Linked DNA regions of Mytilus edulis. The protein of the gene in region 2 interacts with the protein of the main gene of each other region in a biochemical or structural test. Links are inferred from orthologs where the notes say so. Each region holds a gene or a part of one and is shown on either strand. Other genes may lie near its edges.

Region 1 (6,955 bases), on a different chromosome or scaffold from region 2:
ATGTAACATGAAGGATTTGCATACATGGCATACAAAGTATGAAGCATCCAGGTATTTTACCTTCATACTGATGCTGCTACAAGATAGTAATCCCCCTGTCTCTGATTCTGTGGCAATTAAGATTAATTGATTGATTGTTGGTATTTTAACACCACTTTTAAGCGCCACTTTCGGACTCATTTGTGGCGTATAGGTGGAGAAAGCTGGAGTGCCTGAAGAAAACCACAGACCATCAAACAGAAAATCGACAATCCTCAATTAATGTTGGAATGATGTTACATGTAATGGTAAATTTTAATACATGATGGTAAAATGTACAATTTCTTTTAAACAATAAAAAATTGACTGATTTCAAGAAATCCAGTTAATTTTTTACCACAAAAATAAGGTAAGACCAAAAAAAAATATATGTCTGTTTAAGGTTACATCATCAAAATAAATAGGGTAGGTAGGTCGGTATTTCCATTTTATTATTTTTTATCATTTTATTTTTTACGCCATGATTTTGAGTTGTGTGGTCCGTCTTAAGGTGGTTTGAGTTGTCCATGGGCTCAGTTAACCTGTATTTTTAATGATTGAATTATTTCCTTTTGTTATTGTATGTATTGGTTGGAGAAAAAAAGGCGGCAAAGTTTTTATTTCATTACACGAGTTGCGAGTTTCCTTAACTTAAAACAGCTGTCATATTCAGAATTTCACGATTGTGAACATTGGGATGTACCAGGCAATTGATTAAATTTATTGGCAATCCTTACTTTGCTTTTGACACAAGTTCTATTAATTTTTCACTTTACGACGGAAATAAAATGGCTTAGGGTCGGTCGGGTAACTGTAAACAGAGTGAATTTTTTTTTTTGCCTAATGTATGTATGTACTCGAGATTCCGCCAATTTAGACGCACCCCTTGATTGACTGCAAGGGTACAGCGGATCCATGTAAATTCCCTAAGGATTAATGGAGATGTGTCCTTTACAATATTATCCCACCACCAGAACAATCCCCACCCAACACCGCCCAAGGGAGCGTGTAGGACACCGGGAAGTCTGTTATTATGGTGAAGGAAGCTGAAGTACTCGAAGAGAACCACCGGGCCACTCAGTGGAAACAGACAAACCAGAGAGATATCAGAAGATTGATCTCCAGGTCAAAGTAGGGGACAACTTTGACCAACCGAGGCCCCCAAAGTACCCATTCTAGTTTAAACTCCGGTGTGGGTACCAGAGATGTGTGTGAGAGGGTGAAAATTACCCTTCTGATGTACTGATATTTTTAGCACCCCGAGTGAGAATTGAACTCGGGACCTTCAGCACTGTAGCCATCGGTCTTAACCACTAGACCACGAACTCACACATGAGATTTTACCAAATCCTTGGTATGTTCGAATTTAGAATACTGCTCTTCAGTTTGGTCACCTCACACCCAAAAACAAAAAAACAACATTGAAAAAGTACAAAGAAGGGCAGCATGCTACGTCACCAACAGGTACCCCAACACCAGTAGTGTAACTTCCATGATTGACCATCTTCAATGGAAGTCATTTGAAACTCGCAGACACATCAAGCGAGTAACTATGCTGTACAAAATCTCACACCATCTCATTGCAGTAGATCCAAACTTTTACCTTTTACCACAGCCAGTCAATAACACCACATTCACTAATTCATTACAATACATGTACCAAACATTTAGCACAAGAACAGATTACTTGAAGTACAGCTTTTTTCCATTCACAGTTGTACTTTAGAACTCACTTCCAGGGGTAGAAATAAGAAAAGACCATTGACTTGCAAGTCAATATGTATATTAACTTGCCCTTGTATCTGTTAACTTGCCCGACTAACGAGCATAGCTCGGCGCACTTACGGCGAGGGGTCTGGGGTAAATGGTGCCAAATCCTGCATTCTAGACCTCTCCTGGCAGATGATTTCAAGTTTCTATACACCCTTTTTTAAACAAAAACTTTTACTTTTACAAAAAAAAGTGACAAAAAAATTTCAGATGTACATGTAGAAACTGACCCAATTGTCAAATTTCCTGTAAAAAATATGCTTCATTCTAAACAATGCAATTATAATTTATTTTACATTTTACAGCAATACTATAAGAGCTTGTTTCTACATTGAATGAATTTGAAACCTTTAATTTTGTAAAGAGAGTCAGCCTGTTGAAGACCTTGTGGTGACCTCTGAATGTTTGCTGCTGTTGTTGTTCCTAGTGAATTAGGTGCATCTGGTCTTTAATACTCTTTATGTAACTAACTGACAAATTCAAATAACAATAGGTAATTGTTCACTGCAGAAATGAGCACATTTAGTATGCTCAGCTATAAAGGTAAAGAATTTAAGATAGAAGTGGATGAGAATATTTTAATTTAATTATGTATGTCTGACTTTTCGTGAGCATGTATATTGTCCTTTTTATAATTTGTACATCCTATTACAAAACTGCCACTACTTCCAAACTGAACGCAAACCTCACATGTCATCCCCTTTTCTGTGTCTTTCAGCCATTTAAATTCATCCAGCCATTTTGTTAAAAATTTACGTTTTCTTTTTCCCTCTTCATATTTTTTTTGTTGCTCAACCCTGTTGACGTTGGATTCTTTAAGTTTTTTTAAAGGGGGGACATAATTTACTAAAAAGTTTTCCATTTGTTTCTTTCTACTTTCATTTTTAAATCAACTCAAAAGTCGTTTGCAAAACGCGTTCTGATTGGATCATTGTATCGACTTCCTTTCACAATTAGTAGCGGAAATCCCCGAGCAGGTGCGACTGAACATTCTAAAACGACGGCGCTCATTGGCTTACGCATAGGAATTGACCAATAGAATTATTCGGGACAAACTACGATGTTTACGATTTTCCTGGCATGCGCATATGAAATAAATAAAGAGGGCGAAAATAGTAATACAATAATACACAGTTGTACATCGTACAAAATTACGTCTGACATAGTTATACAAATATTTTATTGGCACAAATTCATTAACAATAAATGGTTAAGACCTATTGCATATATTATTATATTAATTGACATGATAGAATGAAACGCAAACACAAAATTTCAACTTGCCCGGCGGACAACTATGTGATGAGATTCACTTGCCCGCTGCAGATTTTACTTGCCTCGGGCAAATGGGATAGCGCTTATTTCGAACCCTGCACTTCCACAAAACGTTATCAGTGTTAACTCCCTGGATCAGTTTAAAATACTGATCCAGAGACTGGCAGAGTCAGTATATTTAGATATCCATGAACCTGTTTGTAAATATGTAAATGTGTTAATTTGTTTTGTTTTTGCACAAAATTATTTTTTAATTATTGCATTCATTAGTTATTATATTTTATTAAGTGCATGTCTGTTTACAATTCGCCGACGTATAGTCATCAATGTGCTGATGGATCGTCGTAAATGTAGATGTAGTTTGAAATGTCTAAGGAATCTCGATATTTAGGATATTCTGACATCAATTTGAAGCTAACGGTAGCCAAAAATAACCTTTGACGCTGGAGTGTAGAGTCAATTCCTACCTCAATCAAACTTTACTCACTAAATTATTTACTGTTATAGTGTTACCAGGTTAAAATAACAGAAATTTACATGTTCATAAAACTTGATCGGCTAATCTTTGAAAGGTAAAGATTACTTATTTTAAAACATTGTGGTCTGATTAATTGTTTTATTTAACAAAACATGAATGACATTTGCGTCGTAATTCTCTAGCAAGGAAATAGTAGTAACAAAATAGGTTTACCTTTCGCTGCCAAGGAAGGAATGAAGTTTACCGGAAGTCGGTGTAAAAGTCAAAATTTAGAATATAATTTGTCTTCGGATATTTTTTATTTTTTATTTGACAAATAGGAAAAATGTACGAATTATTTTTAATTTGAAGCCTGTCAGTATTTTTTTTATCTTTCGCCAATAAGATAATCATACGAAATTTTAAGCGGAAGTGCTTTATTACGCACTGGGTACTTTCACAATAAAAAAAAAAAACAGAAGACCAAAATGATTAAGTTGTTTTCACTAAAACAGGCGAAAAAAGACGGTACCGATGGTGGAGAAAAATCAGGAACACAGAAAAAAGCATCAGCTGCACAGTTGAGAATACAGAAAGGTGAAATCAGAAATAGTGTCTGAGAAATTCAACGAATTTATCACATTCCATTGATTTGAGTAATGCCATAAAGAGGGAATTAAAGTCATTTTGTACCCTTAACCTTTCGTACTCCCATTTCTTACCCTGACAGAAACCACTTAGTACCCTGACCATTTTGGTATTTCATGGAATAATATGAGGCAGGCATAACCTGTGAATGGGGACGAAGTCTGTATGTATTATTTTTTTTTTTTACCTCAAACATGTTAATAAAGGAAACTGAAATACCGTAACGTTCCCGATTTCGGTTCTGTGGTTAGGGATTTAGCTGTGACGTTGTTTAAGTTATGACGTCATATTCAATGTAAACAAAAGAAACGCTTCCATCAGGTAACGTTTTTTTCAAATCAAACTGTATTCTGTATTCTGTAGGTGTCGCTGTTGACACTGGATTGTCTCCCTTGTAATTATTTAAATCTCGCGTGTATTAATATTTCACTCTGGTAAACAACTCACTTGTACTTTAAAATACATACTATTAGGTGGCAACTGTGCTTAACATATTTTTTCCAAAAATTAAAAAATATATCTACATTTATTAATTAACATGAAAATTTAAAGGAAAAGAAAGAAAAAAAAAATAAAAAAAATCTAACATTACATTAATCAAACCGGCGCGACTCGCAAATAAAGTCACCCAACAATCGCATTAGTGTTTCATTAGAGACGGAGACATTGTCGTTTTTTTCTATTGACAATAAAAGTTCCAAATCAATATGTAACGATCCTGTGTTGAAGTATATCTCATGTATAAGTTTCTGTCTTGCCTCTTCATAATTTTCACAAAATAGTAAATAATGTTCCACAGTTTCTAATTGACCGCATTCACACTTTGGGTCTATATTTTGATTGATTTTGTTTTGATAATTTTTTAGGTAGTATCCGGATCTTAAATTTCTAATAATTTTTGCTGTTTTGTGATCTGGATAATTAAATGTCGATTTATTGCTGACAGTCTGATGAAAGTTATAATAAAATCTTCCTGTATCACTATTATCCCATCTATGTTGCCACTTTTTATTTACTAAAATTCTTGCTGCTGTTTTAATATCTTGTTTAGTTACTGTAATATGGGCTTCTTTCTGAATTTGATTTGCCTCTTTAGCTGCCTCTTTAGCTAGTTTATCAGCTATTTCATTTCCTCTAACATCTGCATGTCCTGGGGTCCAATCAAAATTAATTCTTATTCCATGGTGTTTTTGGATACATTTAATAAGGGAAATAATTTCATGTGAAGTGGATCTGTTATTTTCAATTTTCCAATTTAATGTTAAGATTCCAATTGCTGTTTGACTGTCCGAAAATATTTTTACTTCTTCAATTAATGTTTTGTTTTCAATTCTGCTTACATAATCTAATACTAATTTAAAATCAATAATAATAAAATCAAACAATTATTAAAAATGAAATTGTATTGAGTTCCAATCTTATATTTTACTAGACTGATACATATAATTTTCTTTTCAAAGTCTCATGCAAACAAGACAGATTTCTGCGCAAAGCGGGGAAAACCGGAACAGGAACTAGATCTGAAAAAAAAAGTTAACGATTTTGAGTTCATTAGTAGAATGAAAAATTCGGGAAATTTTCCCGATTTTTTTTTTTTTTTTTTTTTAATAATTGATTTTTCTACCGTAATTGGGGACTTCGTCCCCATATTAACATTTCTCTAATTTTTGTGCTATTTTGATCGGTGTGAGAAAAATATTTTTCCTCACTAGTGAGATATCCGTTTTCGGTAAATGATAAGTCGAAATGTGATTATGATGTCAAAATGTTTTGTTTTCTTCTGAATTTTTCTATTATGACGTCAGGAAAAAAAGTGACCATGCATGATGACGTTGCATATGAAGACATCTCCAAAACATCAACAAGAATTAAACAGATGTACAAACAAGGTTCAAATGTCCAAGAAATGAGTGACACGTTCAAGAAAGAACTATTCCAAAGCATGGACAAACATATACCAGCCAAAGAATCCGCTCAAAAAACAGCCTTCCCTGGATAACACTCAAAATAAGGAAAATGTTCAAAAAGAAAAGCTGATTATACCAACATTGCAACAAGCTAAAAGAACAAAAAAATGGTCAAATTACAAAAAGAAATCAAAAGCCAAATAAGAAAAGCTGAATGGTCATATATCAACAACACCATACTAAAGGGCCTAGAATCAAACAACACCAAGCCATTCCAGAAATACAACAAATCCAGAAAAAATGACAACATTTGAGCATGTTGAGTAGCCCCATCAAAAAACAAAGGGAAACTCATCAGCGACAGTAAAGGGAAAGCTGAAATACTAATACAGCTATTCAAATCAGTTTTCACAATAGATAAAGCCACAACAATACCAGACACAACAAAGCATATTAAGGAAACCATACCAAACCTCATAATAACAGAAAAGGGACTAGAAAAACTGCTAAAAGATGTCAACCCATCAAAAGCTTCTGTACCGGATGGATTCTCAAACAGAATTTTGAAAGAATGTGCAAGTCAAATTACACCAGAACTGACAGCAATCTTCCAAAAATCTATAGACACTGCAACCCTTCCTCAAGACTGGCTAAACGCAAACATACATGTATCATGCGTTTAAAAAAAAAGGCGATAAACACGCTGCTGAAAATTACAGACCTGTATCGTTGACATCAGTACCATGTAAGATCCTGGAACATATAATATGCAGGCATATAATGAAACATCTAGAAAAGCATACTGTGTTAACATCTTTAAACCATGGTTTTAGATCAGGTTACTTATGCGAAACCCAAGTACTTCAAACCTATATTGCCA
Region 2 (7,766 bases):
ACATTCGAAAAAAAGGTATTTCAACATAGACGACAGCAATGATCTGTTTACTGCTACATATACCTCCATGTACTTTTTAGATATTTTTTTTTTCTCTTTTATAAATCTAATACCCCGTTCGCATTTTATTTTAATCCCGAAGATGTCACCAATAAATGTTAAATTATTTAAAACGTTAATGTTGCTCTACCCTAGACCATATATTGCCTTCATTGTACTAGTATTCGACACAATTTTTTGAATATTTCAATTACAATTCGTTTAAACTTTGTATTTGATTCGAGTTACACTGACGAGTCTTATTTAGATGTGACGTCCGTCTGATGATCAAAAATAAGCCAGGTATATTTGATGCGTTTTTATTCGAGCATAATTATTTTATCTGAGTTAAACGTAGACAGTGTGGATCTTTTAAAAAGGGGGCTAGTCCGATTTAAATTACCCCTTACTTTAGGCGATCTCATTTTGATTTATTTGCATTCTCAGTGTGACAGCAAAGTCACGCGTTACAATAGTTGACAAGTGACACTTCCTGCAGCATATCTAAATTAGAGGATGAAGCATCCTTAAGTGTAGTAGGCAACAACAAAACAGAAATGTTGATATTGAAACAAGCTATTATCATGCAAAGAATGCATTCAAATCCATTCAACCAGCAGACATTTTGTTTGTAGTTTTTATTTTGGTTGATGACAAAAACCTAAAAAAGGTGTAATGTTAACCAATGATAACTGTCTCGGGTTTAAAGCGGGCAGATTGTATATTGTGAACATTGTATACATGTAGATACATTGAAGTGAATGTTTTGTAGAGACTGCTTTTATAAATGCTATGTTGTTTGGTCTTCGTATCAAAAGTGCTACTTTGCTATAGACATATATTTTTTATGATTTTTTGAATATTAATGACAAGGTTATGTATGTGGCTTTCCATCACAAAGCAATTCCAATATTGAATTCTCCCCCTCTCCATTACATCAGTTTATACTTCTGACTTCTGCGTTTATTTCAATCAAGTAAAAATATAAACATATTTGTAAGAGGTAATTGATTAATTTTCCATTTTACCACTACTGATTTCAATTTTGCGCAACTTGATCCGATGAATCTGGAATCATTTTTCACTTGTAACACCAAATATTTCCTGTTGTGACTGAAATAATTGTGGAAAAACTTAAAATTCACGTAATATTTTTCAACGAATTTCTTCAAATCTGCTGCTTACTAATCTTAATCACTGATTTGCGCTCAATCATTTAAAAAGTTGTTAATAATAATTGTGTTTTTATAATTAATTGTATTTTTAATATTATTCAATGCATATTGTTATATTGATAGGTTAGTATTTAATATTTATTCCGTCCTGTTACATTGTTATCATATTGTTATTTCACAGACCTTTTCTTAACGTTCCTGTGTAGTTAGTGTGCCAGTCATGTAGGGTACGAAACGGAATACAAATGCTCGATAAGCCTTGTAATTCCTACCGGTTTCTGATCCTCGATCAAATCATTGTTATATTCCAAAACCGTGTAATGACATTCTTCTTTTATATATATGGCAAACATGTTTTTTGCGCAGTAAAATTGTATTGACTGGTATATAATTAATTTGTGGGTGTGCTTTGGTTTTAACGTGAACAATGTTTCATCAGAATATGATTTTAGGAAGTGAAGAAGCAATAATACGCCGGATTTTACACTGTCATTTTCAGTTCCAAAATTCACAATTTTCAAACACAATATTTACTGTTGAGCGTGGCCATACAAAGTATCGCATATATAATAGATGGTTATATTCCGTATAAATCTCAGTAGTGTACAAACAATCAACAACAACAAAAAAGAAAAAAAAATGACAACCATAATTCAAGTCCATTATTTTTTTTTCTGTCTTTCAAAGTTGACAGCCATGAACAATTGTACAAGTGAAGAAAAAAAAACCAGTTAACTTTAATTCAAATTCAAAAGAAATCTTACACTTCTTTTAATGTTATTTTCTGCAATGACTGACAAGTTCATTTATCTGAATAACTAGTAGTTACAAGTAATTATTTTTGTAAACCATTACTTCTTATCATAGATTGTTATTTTTATAATACATGTATATATGTGCTGTCTTACATTCTTACCTAATAAATAACTGTGATACTTTTAATTAAGTTTATTGTTGTTCTTGCGATGAATAGAATTATGTAAGTTTCGAATAAGAAAAGAATCTGTATGTCACTGGGGATGTTAAAAGCGTTTTATTTTTCTATGAAAAGAATGCATGGCTATTTTATATAGGTATACGTCAATGAGACAATAACCCAACAACAGAAAAAAAACTACAAAAGACATCCAGGCAACAAAGTCCGAATTCAGACAGATAACTCCACCTTTTGACATATAGCTCTTTAACGGTTTCGGTACTTATACATCTTCGGATGTCAAATGTTTGGCTTTGAGCCTTCCTGATGAAGGTAAATCCAGAAAAGCTATTCGGACGCAAGAAATTAATAACGTGATGTTTTCAAATGTTTTTATTCCAATCGTTAGAAAGAATGGTGTCGTATGTTAGCGGTCAAATCAGACAACCTACCCCAAATTAAAAATAACAAAAAGTTTTACGGAATACAACATACATCAATGCAGAAATTGCACTTCACCTAAATGTCTTATATCCCCTGTGATAGTGATGTAACAGTACAGCATGATAAGAGCAAACTATAAAAAACTATTGAAAACAAAATCATTCCATTGACGAACATATGCAAAAACAATGACACAGATAACGTATCTTGTAATTCATAAGGTGAATTGTCATTGCATGTGAATTTCGATATAAACAATCATGGTATATACATGCATGAGATACACTTGAAATGGTAAAGGAGACTTGAGTATTTGCCCCCAGCATAAGACCGATTGATTTTAGTTATGTAACCAATTTGCCTCAATCTGTACAATTTCATCAATAAATTGTGTCTTGATATGGCATCAAATGAATCAATGAAGTAAATAAACATTGTCTTTTAGATAGCTCTTTATATAGTAAATCGCATTGATACAATGCTCAACTCGATAGAAATATAAACTGCGCATCATTGATATTATCATTACTATCATATCAATAGCCATGTGTATTTTAATTCGACGTAAAGATACTGTCGCGAAATTGCTTACAAAACTGATTCCACGATAGTTGAAGGGATCGGATGAGGGACCTGGAACAGTACTGCAATTGTTTAAGATTGTGGAAATGTCCAGACCTGCATGTTGAACATTTCCTCCATCCACAGTTGCAGAATATCATTCCATTCAAGAATAGTTCGTTAAATGGTCCGTTTCTACTATGACTTTTAAGAAGTTTTGTTAAGAAAAAAACCCTCTTCGGAATGCCATTAATCTTTAGAAATAAATCGATCAAGTTGGTCATACGGTGTAAAGGAAAACGTATCTGAACTATTTCTTAAATGTGTCAGAATTTTTGGGTCGCTTAGAACTACTGTAACAGCTTATAGAATGTTTTATTTTGTTGTTTCTGTGCAATGCTCTATCATATATATCACTTAACTCTTGGCGCTTATACCTCCGTTTTAAGTTATTTTCATTCCATTGACACTTTTAAAAAAAATAATGAATTGTAACTTTTTCATCAAAGGAGGGGTATTTTTTTTACTCCTATTAAACAATTAATCAAGATCAAATTATTGAACTTCCTATCCATGAAGAACTATGCATTTCCTCTAAACACGGTAGCAAAATATCATAGCATTCAATGAATATGTCATTAAATGTTAAAAATGTTCTGTTTGCACTATCATCGGACTGTTAAGAATGTTGGTCGAAAATAAAATAAACCCAAAAACTTGTATGTGTAAAATACTAAGCATATTCCACAGATATTTTACCCGATTTTTATTACAGTACTAAAAGTTGTCAAATTTTGTTAAAAAACTTAAGTCGTGAACAAATAAAAAGAGCACATAGGACCATGATATGCAATTCAAAACCACAAAAAAAAAAACTTGAAGACATTACCATTACCGAAAAAAAAAGAAGAAAATTTGATAACGCTACAAAACTTAAATTGTGCAACATTAACCTCACCAAAATCTTGTAAAATCGGTATCATGATTTCGTAAGGATAAGCATTTTCCTGTTCCAATAGCTGCACCTGTCGTGCTTCTCATAACAAGAACAAACGGTGATAAGTTGAATTTGGTAAAAAGACATTTACTTCAAGTGTTTTTTTTTTATTGAGTTAATATTTGAAAATATTTGGAAAAAAGATATATGAAATTCTCAAGAAATAAAAATAATAATATTAAATATAATTTTTCAATCATGATTGACAGAGGTATTCTCAAAATCAGTACATTAGCTTGAACTAGTTTTAAAGTTTTTCATGTTCCAAAAAACTACATTTCTACTCATACCATGTTAGAATTTAGAATTTAGATTGAATTGGATTGTAAAGTAGACTAGAAAACTTGCTGCTCGCAATTTCAGATGAATAGGGAAACCAGTCTGGTTAGATGATACAATAGCAGTGAGCAGACAACCAGTCTTAATACTTTATTGACGATGACCCACTTAACCCCAAATCAATGTGCATATTTTTAAATCGTTGCTACATTGAACTACAAACCGTATTTTTCAAGAAAACAATTTATTTCTAAATGTTGAAATATTAAAGAAAGTCTTTGATTTCGACCAACACTCACGAATCATAATAATTGTTTAGATCTATTTTTGTTTGCGGATAAATGACTAAATGAAGATCTGTTGTTTGGCTTTCATCGAGAATGGTTTAAAAGTCAACGGCGAAAATGCCTGAGGAACACATTCAGAGACTCAAAACTCTTTTGACTTAGTCTTCTAAGAATTTCACAAATCAGCTTTTATCATTTCAGTTTATTTGGTTACCCATTCCATTCTTTATTTTATAGTTAATATATTTGGAAAATGAGTCGACAGCAGCCTCGCAAAGACACAAAAATGCGAATCAGAGCATTTCCAGTAAGTATAAGACCACATAGAAAGTCCCACTCATATATCATTAAACCAAAATTACGTATTTTTTTATTGCAAATCCTTGTAGACACTTATTTTCGAGAAAAAAATAATATTTGGATCATGAAATAAAATGGCGGACGGAAGTGGCATAATGAATGTAAATAAAGACGTCTGCTGCATGGGAAACTCTATGAGGACTTCTAGTAGGCCTATAGTTAGAATGTTCAATCGACAATTAAATACAACCAATTAAGATATATTAAACTGTCATCAACTGTAATTGTACACATTTTATGAGTAAGACAGTTGTGTGCCAAGCTGTCCCACAGTCCTGCCATATTCTGGACTTTCTCTTTGCTAGTGAATTTTGAGGGGAACTTTGAGACCCATTTTTATTATGACATATCAATTAGATCTTGTAAACATTTTTAACTTTTAATGAAAATTTCATACCAAAATTGGATAAGTTTAAAAATTAAGCACAATACTGTTATTGAACTTATCGATAGTACATCATTTCTAGAATCATGTCTTTCTCGTACGCCTTTATGTATCATAACCAGATTGATAGCGAGTCTGTATCCTGATCTATTAAAAGTTTTCAGCACTTTCAGAATCATCATTCTGTAGGGTAGTATAATGGAAATAATTTATGTTCTGTAAGTACGTAATTTTAATGTTCCTGCCACTGAGGGAGGGTGACCATCTCACAAGTTTTTAATTTTCAAAATATTTTGTGCATTATAAAACTTTTTCACACGTTGGCTCAACATGTGTTGGAAATTACTGTACCTACATTTTGGTAATGTGGTGATGGAAGTCCCATGACAGATTTAACTAACTACTGCATCCCTGAAGTGACATATTTTTTATGTAATCAATATTCAATTTTAAGTTTAAATATTTCCTTTATTCTTTCTAGATGACAATGGATGAAAAATATGTTAACAATATTTGGACATTGCTGAAAAATGCCATTCAGGAAATCCAGAAAAAAAATAACAGTGGACTTAGTTTTGAGGAGTTGTATAGAAATGCCTATACCATGGTATTGCATAAACATGGAGAAAAATTATACACTGGTTTGCGTGATGTTGTCACAGATCATTTAGTTGACAAGGCAAGTAATACTAATATTTGGTTAGGAGAAATATATGTCTTATTCAAGCTGGAATACTGGACCATTATTCTAGCAAGTTTTCATAACAGTGTGTTCATAAAAGATATCTTTCCCAAAATTAAAAGATAACATTTTGTGAAATGAGTGCTAGTATAAAACTTAAAATCCAATTCCCCCTGGCTTTTTTCATGAAAATTTGGAAATTGATGATGTTAGATGGTGTTTTTATTAAATTTATCATTGACAGTAAGTAAACAAAGTTATTAAATTATAATCTGTCTATATTAACAGATAAGAGAAGATGTTCTTTCAGCATTGATCAATAACTTTCTGCAAACGTTAAACAGTGCATGGAATGACCACCAAACATCAATGGTTATGATAAGAGACATACTGATGTATATGGTAGGTATATATAATTATTATATCCCAATCACTGTCAGAGTGTATTTTAATGAAAGACTGCAAACAACTTGTTTTCCATTTCTCTATCGTTAATAACTCCACTTGTGTATTAAGCATGGATTAGCTGTTTGTTCATGCTTCATAGTTTTGAAGTTGACTGTAACCTTATTTCAGATCTGCAACACAGTCACTTCCTGTTTGACAATATGCTAAATTTTTATCATACACACTGGTCATGGAATATCTTGTTACATTTTACTCAGACTCTTTATTCTCAATTTTATCTAAAAGATAATGTGTTATTTCGATTGGAATTTCAAAATGATGTCAGTGAGTTCATCAGTGTAAGCTATTTTAAGATAAGCAGAGCAGTCATGTCTTGTTTGATGATTATTTGAATTATCATTCTACCAGCTCAGCATGGATTTTTCTTTATGATAAATAACCAGTGGGTGTATACTTTTAAGACATTGCAAATAACTTTTTACATGAATAAAAAAATCATGGCAGATATTGTCATGACATCATCGAAAGTTTTATAATTTTCCTATAAATATCAATTTATTTTGGGTTTAGGACAGAGTGTATGTTCAACAAAATAATGTAGACAATGTGTACAATCTTGGACTGATGATATTTAGAGAGAAGGTTGTAAGACATCCAATGATAAGGGACCATCTCCGCAGTACATTGTTAGAAATGGTAGCAAAAGAAAGAAGAGGAGAGGTGGTCGACAGGTAAATTAGTGAAAATATAGTCACCAGCAAAGATAATGACACAAATCCATTAGTTAAAAACTCTTTATATACAATTAAAGACATCATACTCCCTCCTTAAAGGGAAGGCAGATGCATTTGAATTGAAGTTTGTAATGTTCTTAGTTCTCAAAATGACATATCTTTAAAACAAGTAACTATCAGCCATTTTTTAATCATGAAAAATATAGTCATTTGTTCTTGAACTTTGTTGATGTGGACTCAGTTGTCTGTTGAGTTCCAGAATTGTTTAATTTATGGTTTTACTGAAAGTTAGCCACATGTAATCTGTCCATGGACAAAGTTATAATTATCAACCTGATTTTGTTCAACTATGTTGCATGTTACATGTACATGTATTTGAGAAGTTACAAGGACTGTTATGTTTTTAGAATAGTTTTTTTATGAAGAAATCCTCATAGAATAGGGTCTCACTCGAAAAATTGGGACGGTAAGTCCCTATTGGATATTATTATTTTATTTT
Region 3 (7,636 bases), on a different chromosome or scaffold from region 2:
TGCATGTTGTATCTGTTTGTAGTAGTGAACATACAGAACAATTACACCCGTATCAGAGGTCCGTATGATTATTCTGTCGCTCTTTCCTATTTCTGTTAACTTTATGTCAAATTATAAGGCATTAACTATCATACGAGTATTGGCCTTTGTTGAGTGCTAACCAAATTACGACAGTCATTTACAATTAACATTATTGTTTAAAATAACTTCTACAATTTCTGATTTACAAACGTTCCGGCTAAGTATAGCCCACTATAAGGTAGAAGGAGACTTGTCATAGTTTTGAGAAAGAAAAAGTATCAAAGAAATTATGGAGAGCCTGTTGATTTTCTTTAACAGAATTTTTTTTTCCAGTCAGGAATCCTTCTCACTTCAATAATCTGATACAACTTGTTGGAAGCTGTAGTCTTTGTGCGGCTTTCCTTTTCAGCAGACAACTTTATTGAGTGTTTCATATCGTAGCGGTAAAAAATGTCTGCTAGTGTGTGCGCTAGAGAAAAGCATAGGGTTACATTTTTATAATAGTCAGCTGCAAGGTCACCAATCCTTTAATTTTGTTATCATCAATACATTTTTAAAAAGCAATGCGATACAACCTCTCAGACTGGTCTAAGTTGTGAGTGATGGGCCAATCGGAGGTAGGGAAAGTGCAAAAAGACATCAGAGTCGAATTGGTTCACCAAATCATGAATTTCAACAAAAAACCCATACGCTTCAACATATTGCTGGCAGATTCCATCATTAAGTCTTTCAACAGAACTTAAAAAGCAACGTTTACTCTTTATAGTAAAGGAAGTGATTCAGTACTTCTTCTCTTTCAAACGATAAACTTTTCAAAGTTAAAACACATGTGCTGCCTTTTTTATATGGTCATTTTTATAAATTTCCTGTTACAAAACTTTAAATTATTCGAAAAACTAAGGATTTTCCTATCCCAGGAAGAGATTACTTAAGCCGTATTTGGCACAACTTTTTGGAATTTTGGTTGTCAATGCTCTTCATCTTTGCACTTGTTTGGCTTTATAACTATTTTGATCTGAGCATCACTGATGATTCTTATGTAGACAAAACGCGCGTCTAGCGTAATGAGTTATAATCCTTTGATAACAATTGACTACTAGGACCTAATCGTAAAGGACTTCCTAATTCAAACATTTTCCAAATTCAGACTTGGTTCTTAATTTTTGAAATAATTTAAAAAAAAAATAAACATACCAAGTAAACATACAAAAATAAGAAAGCTTTTTAAAAATACATAAAAACACGATAACCAACCCGAAATGGGACCATGAACTAACAAAAACGATCGAATTGAACAAATTTTAGCAATGAAAAATCTTTCTGATACAAAAAATCATTTACGTCTGGCGTATATACTAAATTTAGGTATCTATGATGAGTTTATTTATAGATGAAAATAACAGTATCGGTCCGGTTCAATATTTTTGTACAAGTCGAATTTTAAGAGGAAAACTTGTATCTTCATTTTATAGTGTATATATTGTTTCAATGTACAAGTCAAAATATGCTTCTGAGATAAAGGATTTTGAAACTTTTGTTTAATAAAAGTTTGAAATATCAAATAAATGTTGATTATTTTACATTTTGCGAAAAAATAAATGATGAAAATGAATTGAAACTTACTCTATTATTTAAATGGAAATACTCGTAGTGTTCAATATCTACAAAAACTCTTCAATAACGGATTAATTTTGCTAAACTTTTTTTGTAATTGTTAAAATAAGATGTAACAACAATATATATAATAACAAGAAGCATATCAAGAATGCACTTTAAGAATGTAGGCCTAAAATCTTATAAAAGTAAGTTTTTCTTTAAAATAAGGGAATGAACTTCAAAGCCCATTTTACAAAAATTGCACCATACGATTTTTTGACGACAAGTCAAAATGTGAAGTGTAACCTTTGCACTACCAATACTGTGATTTATAGCCGTATAGTCTGAATGACGATTAAACTCCTTAAATAAGCGACTTTTCCTTACTTGGTCACCGTACTACATACTGGAAAAGGATCCCTGCTTTTTGAAATATTTATTGATCATAACCAGAGACATCTAATACATATTATATGTCTCAGGCTGTCATAACTTGTGTTTACTTTTCACTTTATTAATTTTTGTGTCTCAAAACGATCCAACGTCCAGATTAACCATTTACCGCAAGACGATAGTTAATTCAAAATATGACAACATCAGAGTTTCATGAAATGGAAAGTTCTGAGAAACCATCTTTAGCCTAGAGCATGTTAAAATGCAAGCGAATATCGAACACATATTGAGGAATGCTTTATAAGATCTTATAACGCAAATTAAATATTCTGTATAATCATATGATGCACTTTACTTTTAAGTATTGCAAAAATATTGAATAGTTGTATTCATAACTTAACTATAAGTATCTTTTTCTGGAAATTAAACTTAAGTGTCACGAATTTATTAAAAACACTGATTATTGTCACTAAAATTTCAGTTTTATAATGGGATAAGAAAGGGTATTTGCCAGGGCCGTAACTAGCCTCTTTTAATAGTGAGGAAAAATATATTTGCCGAGTGGAGCGAGGCGAAAAATTTTGGGCGAGGCGGCCCCAGAAGCTCTGAGAAAAATAACGCAAAATCGTGCATTCTGAGCTTTTCCCAGACTCTTTCTTGCATTGAAACGGCTTAATTAATTTTTAGACATTTTTTTCGACAATCAGGTCCCAAAGCAAAGATTCATTGTAATTTCAGACTTTTAGGTATTAGAGACAACATTAAAAGACCAATATGTAGGATAAAGCAAAAATCGTTATTCTCATCTATAATACTAAAATTACGAGGTCCAATTTGTCAGCCGTCATCGGGTAAAAACGACATATCAAAGAATTCAACTCTATATATAACTAATATAGGACAATGGTGTAGATTAAAAATTACACCACTCCAGACCCTTTTGTTTTCCACATAATTAATATTGCCAATAATTAACAAGTTCCGGGTCTAATCCGATACCGATACCAATAGTATATTCACCTGTTAGCTATTACCTTATCTGTACATTCCGCATTTGACAGGCGCACCACCAAACGGTGTATTTAGGATTTTGCTATATACACGGGTCATAATCAAAGGGCTGACACTACTAAATTCAATCATTGTCAAATTGTTCCCTATTGTAGCTTTATTCTGCAATCAGCAAGACTTTCTAAGATAACTAATATAGGACAATGCTGTTGATTAAAAAAATACCCCATTCCTGGATAGCCTGGACCTTTTGTTTTCCAAATAATTAATATTTCCAATAATTGATAAGTTCCAGGTCGACGGGTTCAAACAGAAAGATTTGAAAGCAGAGAAAACTGTGTATCTTATAATCGACATGACTTTATCAGATGACAATACCAATTACTAAAATAAGGCTTAGGCATAGTTATATACTTTAATTCAGTCACGGACCCGCGATATCACGGGTGTGTACTTGTAATTATTAATACCGTATCTGTCTGTCTGTTCTTGACTTGTATTGTGATTAGACTTGGGTGAGTTTTATTATGACTATAGATTTAAATATAGTGACATTGCAGTATCATACTTTAAGAACTAGTACTGCTTAAGTCCACTCTAGGGACCATCTTCACCTTGTTTTACGGTGTTGATGATTCTTTAAATGTATTGTTGAAGACCTTACGGCAACTATCAAGATGAAAGGCAGGAACACAAACTTTGACCATTGATCATTTGTATTGCTTCTATACATTGGCTTTGTGTGCGATTATGTCCCCATACTCCTTTATTATCTGTTAAAGGGTCTCAGCACGACTTAATGCAAATTTAACCTTTCAATGTAAAAGGTCATATATGGCAAAACCTTGTTTTTTTTCTTCAAATTATTTGATACTGGGAAATATGTGACCTTACTTTAATTCAAACCATGTCAGCTATCTAGTTTTATTTACAATAAAACAAACTGTTTTTATTCTTTGATATCAATTTCAATTATCCATGCAGAAAGGACAGGTATGATTTTTTTGTGTCCACTGAGTAGCATCGCATGTTCTTAAATATATTTCTCGCACAATTCTGGACATCGGTGGACATGCAACATTGCAAAACCACGTTTACAAATGAAAGTCAACACTCAGACTATAGTCATAAAGTAGGACAATAAATGAACAAAAGTCAAACCTGGAACACAAAAGTACAAACAATAGGCCATCAACTCTGAAAACTAAAAGGAAATAGAAACATGGATAACGAAAAACATCCAGGGGATACACCAGAGAGTGAAGAGAACTTGCTTCTTGCAAGACACTTTCCGTGAAAACAATTTGATATGAAAACAACCTTTTTTTTACATGAGGCATTTGTCTCATTTGCCTCAGTCAATGTAGTTACGGCCCTGAATTTGCAATTCCTTGTTGGGCATAGTAGTACTATTGCCAATGTTTTATTAGAAATACACCATACTAAGGAACTATATACTAACTATACGTGAACTCTGAGACTACGATAACAGTAGTCTCAGGTGAACTATACTATACAAATGGTGATGCATTGACCATACCGATATGAAATCCGGATGCTATCGAATAGACCGAAGTTGATTTATGTCATATCACGATTTCTTAACTTCCTATTTCCAAATTTGGCTCAGAAGAATGTCAACAAATGGTCACATATTTTACTTACAAAATGATTTACTTTAACTACATTTTAGACTGAGAGGTCAAATGGTTTGTTTAAGTTCAATATTTTTCGAACCCAGATGATGATTTCTACACGTCTTCTTCAAATTCATCAGTAGAATCGAGAAACCTTATTTATTTATTTGGGTCGGGATAATTTTTACAGAGGAAGTTTAAACAAATATTAATCAAAATAATATTTAAAAAGACAGGAAGATTATCAAAAACTCCAGAATAAACTTTATATTTGTAAGTTGTAATTGATAGCTCAACTGTGTTAATAGATTAATAGCTTGATGAAATCGAAACTGAATAAAAGAAGAATGGATAATGATGGAAGCAACATAAAAAATATTTTAAAAAACTTTGAACATAAATATTATGAATATTGATGATTAGATCAGTTTACTCACTTGGCTATGGACATAGAATGCATGGGTACATCAGAGATATATAGAGATGTCTTACTCTATGTACACAACATAGTCTTCCCCCATTTGACACATGATGATTTTGCAGACTAGATATCATATGGGCAGAGTTATATTTTCTAACTTATTCTTACAAATCCTAATTTTTATGGTATCTTTTATTTGTCATTTATAATTAATAAATATGAAATATTTTATTAAAGAAAGCTCAATTATGAACATAATCATTAATAGCATAGATACAACTAAGAATAACATTTTAAGATATTCTATATTGATCTAATTTTAGAATGTTTTTTTTTATATGAATTGGATATTGAATGATATTCACCACGCAAATCTTTGCATGTTATTACATGTACAATAACAGTAAAATGTTGGACATACAATTGGTTTAGGTAAATAACTGTTTAATACATACATATTTTTCTCTGTCTGAACATGGAATTAAACTATTACTGTCTTTTGTTTCTGTAAATATGTGGTTTAATTGACTTTTAAAAAACCTAATGACATTCACTTTGGGCGTTGGCCTTAGTGAATATCAGTTTTTCCAATTCAATAAAAACCACATATTTACCTCATCAAAAGACAGTAATTGTATATGATTGCAATTCATTTATCTAAATAAACATATATTTACCATGTTTACAGCTACAAAATGTACATTTGTATAAAAGCAAAGTTAATGTGTTTAAACAGGTTTATGCTTTTTTGAGGAGAAATTTCTGAGGAAACAACTGTTGGTGCTGTTTTAACTGAAGGAAATTTGCTTGTTTGTCTCTATGCTGCTTATGCAGGAAAGTTTGATTTAATCTAAGGTGAAATTTTGTGCCTTTTAAAATTTACTGTGACAAAATTTAGAAAGACAGTATTTCCTGTCTTTGCATATCTTATTAATGTACAAATGTACATGTGTATGTTATTAAATATTGGAATAAAAAAGTTAAATGATGTTTGATTTGATGAAAGGATTTTTTTGTGCTGTACTTATTTACAGTTCAGCAAACTACATATAAACCTAACTGTGCAGATACCAATTGTACATTGTATAAGAAGCAAAGTCAGTGTTGTGCAATATAAAGCAATCTAACGTTTATTACCTACCTCAATTTGAAATATGTTTACAAAAGACAATGCTATTTGGCTCATATATTTCAAATTGTATGGACACAGGTCACACAGCTGATGTTGTTTTTAAGGTTGTATATACTTGTATATATATATGTTACATCTGGTGAATACGTGATCTGTTTATTAGGCAATCTCAATGGCAGTGAGCAGTGTTTACATGTAAGAACATCTGTTGTTTGACCAGCTGGAGTCAAATGTGTTTGTTAAAATCTATTTTTTTACTTCATGGTCTTTATGAAAAATGTTGTTTGTGCTGTATTTAGACCCCTCTAGCTACTAAAAAAAAATTGTTTTGCATACACATAAAGAAATTGCAGTTTTTAATCAAACACAATCATAGGTTTAAGCATTGTTTTCAATTACGACTTGTTTGATATTGTATTTTACTTTTGCAACATTTTCATTTCAGAAAGGAATGCCAAACAATAATTTTCTGTAAAGTAGAACTAGCATCATCTATCAGATGAACAACAAAATGGAGAGAGCTGCTTCTCCTGCCAGACTTGCCTACACATCAGATAAACATCCAAGACATACATTAGAATCAATTAATGTCTTAAGGAAACACAGAGAACTATGTGATGTTGTCCTTATTGTTGGTCAAAGGAAAATATTTGCTCATCGTGTGATACTCTCTGCGTGCAGTCCATATTTTCATGCCATGTTTACAGGTGAACTTGCTGAGAGTAGACAGACAGAAGTGACAATTAGAGACATTGATGAGGCAGCTATGGAACTCCTCATTGACTTTTGTTACACATCCAACATAACAGTGGAAGAAAGTAATGTACAAACACTATTGCCAGCAGCTTGTTTATTACAGCTTGCTGAAATACAAGATGTTTGTTGTGAATTTCTTAAGAGACAATTAGATCCATCAAATTGTCTTGGTATAAGAGCATTTGCTGATACACATGCATGTAGAGATTTGTTACGGATAGCGGATAAATTTACCCAACATAATTTTCAAGAGGTAAAGTACTACTCTGTATTAAAACAAATTTTCTAACCAACAGGACTATGTGATCAATTCAATTCAAAATCCTTTATAAATATCCTGAAAACATCAGGATTAAACTACATGTAGCATTAAATATATAAGTAATCCTCCACTGTTCTAATATGAAGGCAACTTGTGACGATACATGTAGTTATAGATGATAAAGGGCTGGTCTCAAATTTTTAGTGTTAAGAGCCGACATAACCAAAACATGTATGTTTTTTTTTCATGGACTAATACATTGTAGTTTTAACTCTAGATATCAAGTTTTTATTTGATTAAAAATACCTCATATAAATGTATATGTACATATAATTTTGTGATGTATATCTGTTTCATTACAGGTAATGGAAAGTGAAGAATTCATGCTTTTACCAGTGAACCAGTTA
Region 4 (7,743 bases), on a different chromosome or scaffold from region 2:
CAGATATTATAGAAACTATATTACATAAAATGTAAAATAATTGAAAGAATTTAGTGATACTACACGATGCATTTATACAATATTATAAAGATTTTTATTGATTCGTAATAACAATTGATAAACTTGAACATTATGTCGGCTTAAATCCAAATCGGAATTGTGATCTTTCATATTTAAAATTCGAACTTTGAAAGTACTTTTTATTGTATTTTCACATATAGTTTTAAAACCAATAAGTTTTAAAACTGTTGTCCATGTCAGGCGTAACGATTCGGTTTCGTAAATGGTTGAAGACTTGTGATGTCCTCTCAATATCTTTTGGTTAGTTTTGTAGTTGGGTTACTGTATCATGGACCTATAACCCCACATCTCCTTTTATTCATCATAAATTGGTTCAAAATTTAAAATAAAGAAAAACTAACAAATTTATAGTTTTCTAGAAACGAAAATGTAAAAACGAGAATTACTTTTTTGCAACTTTTGAGTAGGAGTCTTTAGCTCTTTGACTAGTGATGCCGCTCACGATATCCCCGGCAGAGCCAAGCATGGACATACGGAGAAAAGACTCTATGTGAAACAGAAGCAACGCTTTGTATTGTTGTGTATACTTATATCGAAAGCTAGTTTAAAATAGCAGTGACTTTTAAATTCTTTTGCAAAAAAAACTTACGAAAAGTCACATGACATGTTTAATTTACGCTTTGTCGATTACACCCCCTAAATTTGGTTAAACAGGCTTTTTTTCTTCTCAGGCAGTTAATATATAGTGTTACTTCGTTCAATAACAGGCGCTATCAATCAATTTTTAGTATTAGAGTGAAACACATATATATATTTATTTCGATCTAAACCATGACAAACTTGACCAAAACCATGACGAATTTCTAGATTCTTAACCGAACCATGTCAATCGCTTAACCAAACCATAGCAATTCCGATATCTTGCTTATTCTGCGTTAATTTCGTGAAACAACAATTCCAATATAGATCGTTTGACCTCCAATACAGATTCAAGCATTTTATTTGCTTTTTATCTGCTCGTGTGAATAGAACTGAGGCAATAGTTTAGGGAAGTAACATAAATTAATCATGTCAAACTTATCCAAACTATGACAAAATAACTGTACTAAACGCTCCTCGATATGACGACCTTACTACCCGTGACTTAGCTTCCTCTTATATCTAGATACAGAAAAATAACATTCTATTTATCCAGCACTCTGCAAGAAATGCACTCTATTGCTGGTGCTAGTAAAATAGCCATTTCTAGAGTTATAGACTATTTTACCGACTTGAATTAATTTAGGATATTTTAATCAGGGATGGCAAAACAGCCATGCACTGTCATATTTATTTTATTTGCTCTTCAAAAACGGCAATTTTTATATACAGTTAAACATGTACTTAAAGACATTTTGTAAAAACGTTTCATTTTTTGACCTAGAGAAGATGTGCGCGCAAGTTGCAAACTGGAGTGGAGATCAGACTTGTAAAAGCAATGATTGTGCTAATTTAGAACTATTGGATTTGAATTAGTTTTAACATACTGTGATACAATACTATTATTTTATGATCTATATTATATCAGAGACATAAACGAGGGGCCTGATTTGGGGGGGGGGGGGTCTCATATCACGATTCACGAGTTGATGTTTTTGTCAATCACGATTCACAGAAACTAAATTTCCATGATCACGGATCACGAAAATATATACGAGATAATATCTGAAAAAGTCTAATTTTTGGCAATAAGAAAAAATCAAAAAAAAAGTCTTTAGACCCGGTATTATAATAGCATAAACCGAAGAGCACACATTGGGGATCTAGGAACTGTTGTCTGTAATTCAAACAATTGTTAAATGTGGTAACAATTGCAATTTCAAAAATGGTACAAAATAATTCCAGTTCTTTCCTGTTTCCAAAATGAATCAATTTTAAAAAGTTTCTAATGAGAATAAGGAATAATTTTAAGACACTATTTGTGGTTTACTAGTATATCCTGTAATAGTTTAGTAAATGCCAATTATTGATTTTAACATTTGTAATACAAAAGATTAAGAAATATACTAAAATATAGTCAGAGATGTCGGTAACATGAAAGAATTTTGAGTAACAGGACAACGGTAACAGGACAGAAAGGATTTTTTTCTCAAAAAAGAAAAATACATTATTTCAGATTGGACACCATTGGAAGATAACAGCAAACAATAGCATTTATCCTTTGAAACTGTATTTGACAGATGAAAAATCTGCCTAGGTAATGAAAAATTCTAAAATAAATTCCTTTCTGTTACTATCTACTATACTATAGAATTGCACAATGTTCTCTGCTGTTATCAAAAGCAAAAAAACTATTTTTTTTCATTCAATATATTGTATATTACTATGAAATTTATTTAATATGGTGATGATAACTTATATTAAATGAAATGGTTGACATATAGTAGATTAATATTTTGATTCATCAGTGATATTGTCTTGAACATCCTTCCTGTTACTGATTATGGTTATGCTGTTTCTTTTTATTAGGTAACATGACAGAATGTAACAGAAAGGAATTACGCAGTCCTTTTTGTTCATTTACTCGAATTGTGTAGAAGTTTACTTTCATCTACATATCAATTTGATAAGATACTAGTATAAAACACATGTACTGTTATAGTGCTGACAATGAAATATTCTCAGAAGGTACACAAAAAGGCTGTAACAGGAGAGAACAACAAAATTATTTTTCTCCAATTCTTATCTTTGGGGAGTTCAGTTTTTTTAAACTGGCTGCTATTCACCTAAACAAATGGATTCATACATTCAGGAAATGATGCTCTTCACATTACATTACAAGAAATAAATTTTTGGTCTTTCAAACGTGTCCACAGGTGGAAAACCCCCAGCGGTAACAGGAGGGAAAGTACCCCTGGGGACAACATTCAAAAGACCCTTAAAAATGCAAAATTTTCTTACATGCTTTAGTTATAACAAAATAAGACCAGTAATGGAGAAGTATATTATATAATCTATCAGATTTGTGAAAATTGGAAAGCTGCTTACTTTTAAATTAAGATATTCTTTGAATGATTCAATTTTCAGAAAATAACAGGGGACAACATGATTTTTTTTGGGGGGAGGGGGGTTGACCATTTATATTATAATATTTTATTAGATGAAATATTAAAAAGAATGTTTAATTGGTTGCAGTTGGTGCATTATTTACTCGAGTTAATCAGTACTGAAACTTAAAATTTTCCAAAAAGATGCCTGAATAAAAAAATAATTGCTGGTGAAAGGCGGGACATGGAAATTATAGACTTTTTCAGATATTGTCTCATATAAAAAAAAATATCTGTTGAAAAACGGATCACGATAGCGAAAATGCGCCGATCACAAACAACGAAAATAACCAAAATGTTAAGGCAAGATATTCTTTGGGTTCATCGGACAATAAATGTCTTTTCATACCACGTCCGAGAACAAATTTTATATGAAGAAACATTTCAATATTCCGGTACAGTTAACGTTCTTTGGCAGTGGCGGATCCAGAAATTTTCATAAGTGGGGGCCCACTGACTGACCTAAGAGGGGGCCCGCTCCAGTCACACTTCAGTGATGCCCTATATAAGCAACCAAATTTTTTTCCCAAAAAGGGAGGGCCCAGGCCCCCTGGGCCCCCCCTCTAAATCCGCCTCTGTTTGGAATAGTATTCCTGTTTAAATAAAAAAGATAGAAACGATAGAACAGTTAAAAAAAAAAAGTTTTTGTAATTTCTTGTTTCTAAACTAAAAATGTAATTATCAAATGAAATTTACCTAATATATAAAAGTCCATAAAGGTATCTTGTACATCTGACATTAACAACATATGTTCATGAACCTATTCCGTATGTTTTTCGCCTTTTGTTTTGCATAAAAATACTGTATGTAAATGTATATTATATTATTGCATATTTTGAATTGTTCAAAGGGCATCAGTGGAGATTAATATTGTACTAAGTAACTGATTTTACATCACGGGGGGGGGGGGGGGGGGGGGTAACTTCCTATTATTGGGTATACGGGGATGTGCCAAAAATATGGGTCATATAATTTTGCAAGATTTTATATAAAAATGACCCACCTTCTTAATGACATCCTATATTAAAATGCATTTACGTTTGATAACTGTATATTGATTTAGGATCATTTGGGGTATCAGTGTCATCTACATATCATATATATAACGATAACATATATGTGCACCTAACGATGTCAATTCATATATAAAAACTTAAGGGTAGCTGGTATATTTATGAATTATGAGTGATGATGAGTTAGTGCTTATATATAAGCATGGGTCATATTTTGAATATTGTATATAAGTATAGGTCATTCTTTCTTAAATATTTATATAACTATAGGTACTGAATTTCAGTGAATGTTATATTAAAATGGGTAGGTTTTTTGAGGCAAAAATGGTACACCCCTACCAAAAAAATATCGAAGTTACCCCCGTGTTTTACATGTATACATACAAACCGTGAGTATTTTTATGCAAAACAAAAGGCGACTGTTGAAAACGTAATGTCTCTGGTTCATTAATACTTTTTCAATTTCATCTGAACTTTTAAATTAGTTTTATTAAGTTATAGTAGATAGCAATTCCGATTTGAACTAGCCTACTTGATTCTAATTTGTAATATCTATCTGTCACAAAAATTAAATTTCCCCGCGGTAAAAACTAAGGAGATATGCACATATTCTAATGACGTACATCGCACATCGACAGGAAGTCCACCATTTGTTATTCTTTCTCTCTGACAATCAGCATGAAATCGACAGATTCTGGCAAAAGGAACACGGATATATATATTTGTTGTATGCAGGGATAAAGAAAATACCCAAGTGATGTCTTTCAAGACGACAAACTGCCAGAAATTTCGGTGATTCACCAAATTATACAATTCTGAAGCACAAATGCATTACCTTGTTTTTGTTTTATCGACCTATTCGCTTTGCATGTTATCGATCTCACAGTTTCTATTAAGTTGTCATAATCACGCTTTCTAACTATATAAATAATTAATGACATTAAAACTTCTTTAATCCTTCCAACCTCTGTGTTATTTAAGAAAACGGATCGAAATAAAGGTTGGGTACGTACCCATAGACATAGACAAAGAAATTAAGAATTTAAGACAAAGAACATCTCATTGGTGTAGTCCAAATAATTATGACGTCTTGAAAGGCTATTATAATTTTTTTCTTTGACGCCTTACATCGATGTAAGGCGTCAAAAAAAAAAATTATAATAGCCTTTCAAGACGTCATAATTATTTGGACTACTCATTGGTGATGATGTTGGTCTTTTATTGGACCTGTATCTTAATAAAAAAAAAAGGGGAGGGATAAATAAATAAACTTAGAAAACAGAGAAATTTATTCCTAAACATTCTAAATGAGACATGTTAGAAAAATAGATCACCTATTTTGTTTCACATGTAATTTACTGAAGTGGGTCTCGTAGGGTTCTTAGTGTGACACAGGATTGGCTGATTTTTTAAGAATGATTCGTGAAAGTCTAATAAATAAGCGTGAAATCTGGAAACAAAGCCGGGTGGTACACAGAAAATTATATGCACTATTATGGCAACGAAAAGCAGGTTAGAATTCTGACAAAACTGTAAGCAGGATCCAGGATCAGATCCCCTCCCCCTCCAATGAGTCCCCCACTGAATACAATGTGAAGCCTGTCTCAACCTTTGGAGTCCCACTAGTCAGATAGATCCCTGTCATGTCTGTACCAAACATGGATGTCCCACTACATGCACTAGACAGATAATCCCCTGTCATATTTGACCAAACTATGAAGTCCCAAGAGTCAGATGGTCCCCTGTCATGCCTGTATCAAACTTTGCAGTCCCACTATTTGAATAGTCCCCTGTCATGTCTGTACCAAACATTGATGTTTCACTAGTCAGATAGTTCCCTGTTCATGTCTAGATCTGTATCAAACTTTGAAGTCTTATAATTAGTCCGATAGTCCCCTGTCCTGGCTGTACCAAACATTGATATCTCACTAGTCTAGTCAGATGGACCCCTGTCCTGTACCAAACATAAATGTGTCGGATAGTCATGATAGTCCCCTGTCATGTCTGTACCAAACTATGAACATGATGAAGTCCCACTTACAAGTCAGATAGTTCCCCAAATTAGTCGTTTTTCTTATACGACTGCACATATTTTTTGTATAATGCTACAGTGTATGTCCATGAAATTGTACAACAAGCTTCAATACCACAAAAGGAAGGTTGGGATTGATTTCTGGGTTAAGGGCCAAAAACAAACACTTTTCTAGTTTCCAGACAATAACTTGTATTTAAGTGTATGGAACTCTCTAAATTTTTACTACAAAGTTCCATACCACATAGGGAAGGCTGGGATTGAGTTTGGGGGTAATTGCTCCAAGAAGGAGGGGGTTCAAAAAGTTTTGGGGGTTCCAGTTTCTCAAAGGGGTTCATATTTTTGTTTTTCAGAATTTTTTAAATTTCAAATTTTTGAAAAGTTCTGTGAAAAAATCTTCAATTGCAAAGTATTATCCTATAGATTTTTATACGACAGCAAACATTTTTGTGGTTGTATATTGGTATCACGTTGTCATCGTCGTCAGCGTTGTCCGAAGAGGGATGGTTTCCGGAAAATAACTTATTTTAACACAATGTTTATAACCACAAAAGGAAGCTTGGGATTGATTTTTGGGGTTATGGTCCCTAACGTTTAGGAATTAGGGGCCTAAAACAAGCATTTATCTAGTGTCAGTACAAAAAGTTGTGTATAAGTATTTCAATTGTTTTGAAATTGTACCACAATATTTATGACATATTTATATCATAAGTGAAGGTTAGGATATATATATTTTGTGAGTTATGGGGCAGTTTAGGAATAAAGGGCCAACAAGGGACCAAAAACAAGCATTTTTGTAGTTTCAAGACAATAAATTGGAGTTATCGTTCTTTGTCCAGAATGGTTGTTAAATCACCTATGCGCTAAAACCAATGCTTTATGAAATCTTCTTTGAAAATTGGAGTTATCTTTCTTTGTCCAGAATAGAGGTTGAATCAACTTAAATCAATACAATATACAATGCAATATTCACTTAACTACCAACTGATAAATTGAAGCAATCTTTACCATTCAGTGATTACAAGCACTTTGATTATACCATTTTAGGGTTATGCCCCTTTAAAAATGGAAAAATTGAAGAATTTTTAGTTTCTGTTCTCTCAACTTAAGTTTGTCTCCACTTAATTTAATGAAATCTGTATATATAATGCTTATTACCTCTAAACCCAGTTTAAGTTCAATTTTTGGCAGCTTCACTTTACAGTTCTTGAGTTATGTCCCTTTATAACGTTATATGCTAGCGGGGGCATCATCTGTGTCCCTTTGAACACATTCTTCATTTATTTTTTTAGAAGTTACTAATACTATTAATTAATATTAATTTTAACCGTGACTAATTGACATTTTTATATTTTGATATTTATGATGTATTTAAAGTCATAATAAATGAGTGACTGGTGAAAAATAATGTTATTCCAATTCTTGAACCAATCCATACAAACATCATAAACTTAGTCTTCTGTGCACGATTTTATCATTTTTTTTGCATAAATTTCATACAATCATCAAATTTTTTTTCAATCAGTCAATGTTGTTGTGAAAATATGGCAGGTAATTAAAGTTCTTGTTTTGAAGCCGAAGTTTGTCACGA

What was found.
Region 1: the proteins of cullin-3-A-like (region 2) and NEDD8-conjugating enzyme Ubc12 form a complex in vitro, tested with the Homo sapiens proteins (2 studies listed by BioGRID, with this or other methods). The link is inferred for Mytilus edulis from reciprocal best matches to the Homo sapiens genes CUL3 and UBE2M.
Region 3: the proteins of cullin-3-A-like (region 2) and kelch-like protein 20 form a complex in vitro, tested with the Homo sapiens proteins (2 studies listed by BioGRID and IntAct). The link is inferred for Mytilus edulis from reciprocal best matches to the Homo sapiens genes CUL3 and KLHL20.
Region 4: the proteins of cullin-3-A-like (region 2) and DCN1-like protein 3 form a complex in vitro, tested with the Homo sapiens proteins (3 studies listed by BioGRID, with this or other methods). The link is inferred for Mytilus edulis from reciprocal best matches to the Homo sapiens genes CUL3 and DCUN1D3.

Annotation. Positions count from the first base shown.
Region 1 is NC_092350.1:42,402,018-42,408,972, forward strand, and holds the start of NEDD8-conjugating enzyme Ubc12, read left to right. Parts: upstream 1-3,941; 5' UTR 3,942-4,008; coding exon 4,009-4,117; intron 4,118-6,955.
Region 2 is NC_092346.1:79,309,267-79,317,032, forward strand, and holds the start of cullin-3-A-like, read left to right. Parts: upstream 1-4,740; 5' UTR 4,741-4,951; coding exon 4,952-5,005; intron 5,006-5,924; coding exon 5,925-6,122; intron 6,123-6,413; coding exon 6,414-6,527; intron 6,528-7,103; coding exon 7,104-7,264; intron 7,265-7,766. UniProt on the Homo sapiens protein: Core component of multiple cullin-RING-based BCR (BTB-CUL3-RBX1) E3 ubiquitin-protein ligase complexes which mediate the ubiquitination and subsequent proteasomal degradation of target proteins.
Region 3 is NC_092345.1:63,003,247-63,010,882, forward strand, and holds the start of kelch-like protein 20, read left to right. Parts: upstream 1-4,616; 5' UTR 4,617-4,931; intron 4,932-6,656; 5' UTR 6,657-6,710; coding exon 6,711-7,220; intron 7,221-7,591; coding exon 7,592-7,636. UniProt on the Homo sapiens protein: Substrate-specific adapter of a BCR (BTB-CUL3-RBX1) E3 ubiquitin-protein ligase complex involved in interferon response and anterograde Golgi to endosome transport.
Region 4 is NC_092352.1:76,468,843-76,476,585, forward strand, and holds the start of DCN1-like protein 3, read left to right. Parts: upstream 1-4,736; 5' UTR 4,737-4,912; intron 4,913-7,743. UniProt on the Homo sapiens protein: Contributes to the neddylation of all cullins by transferring NEDD8 from N-terminally acetylated NEDD8-conjugating E2s enzyme to different cullin C-terminal domain-RBX complexes and may play a role in the cell cycle progression by regulating the SCF ubiquitin E3 ligase complex, after UV damage.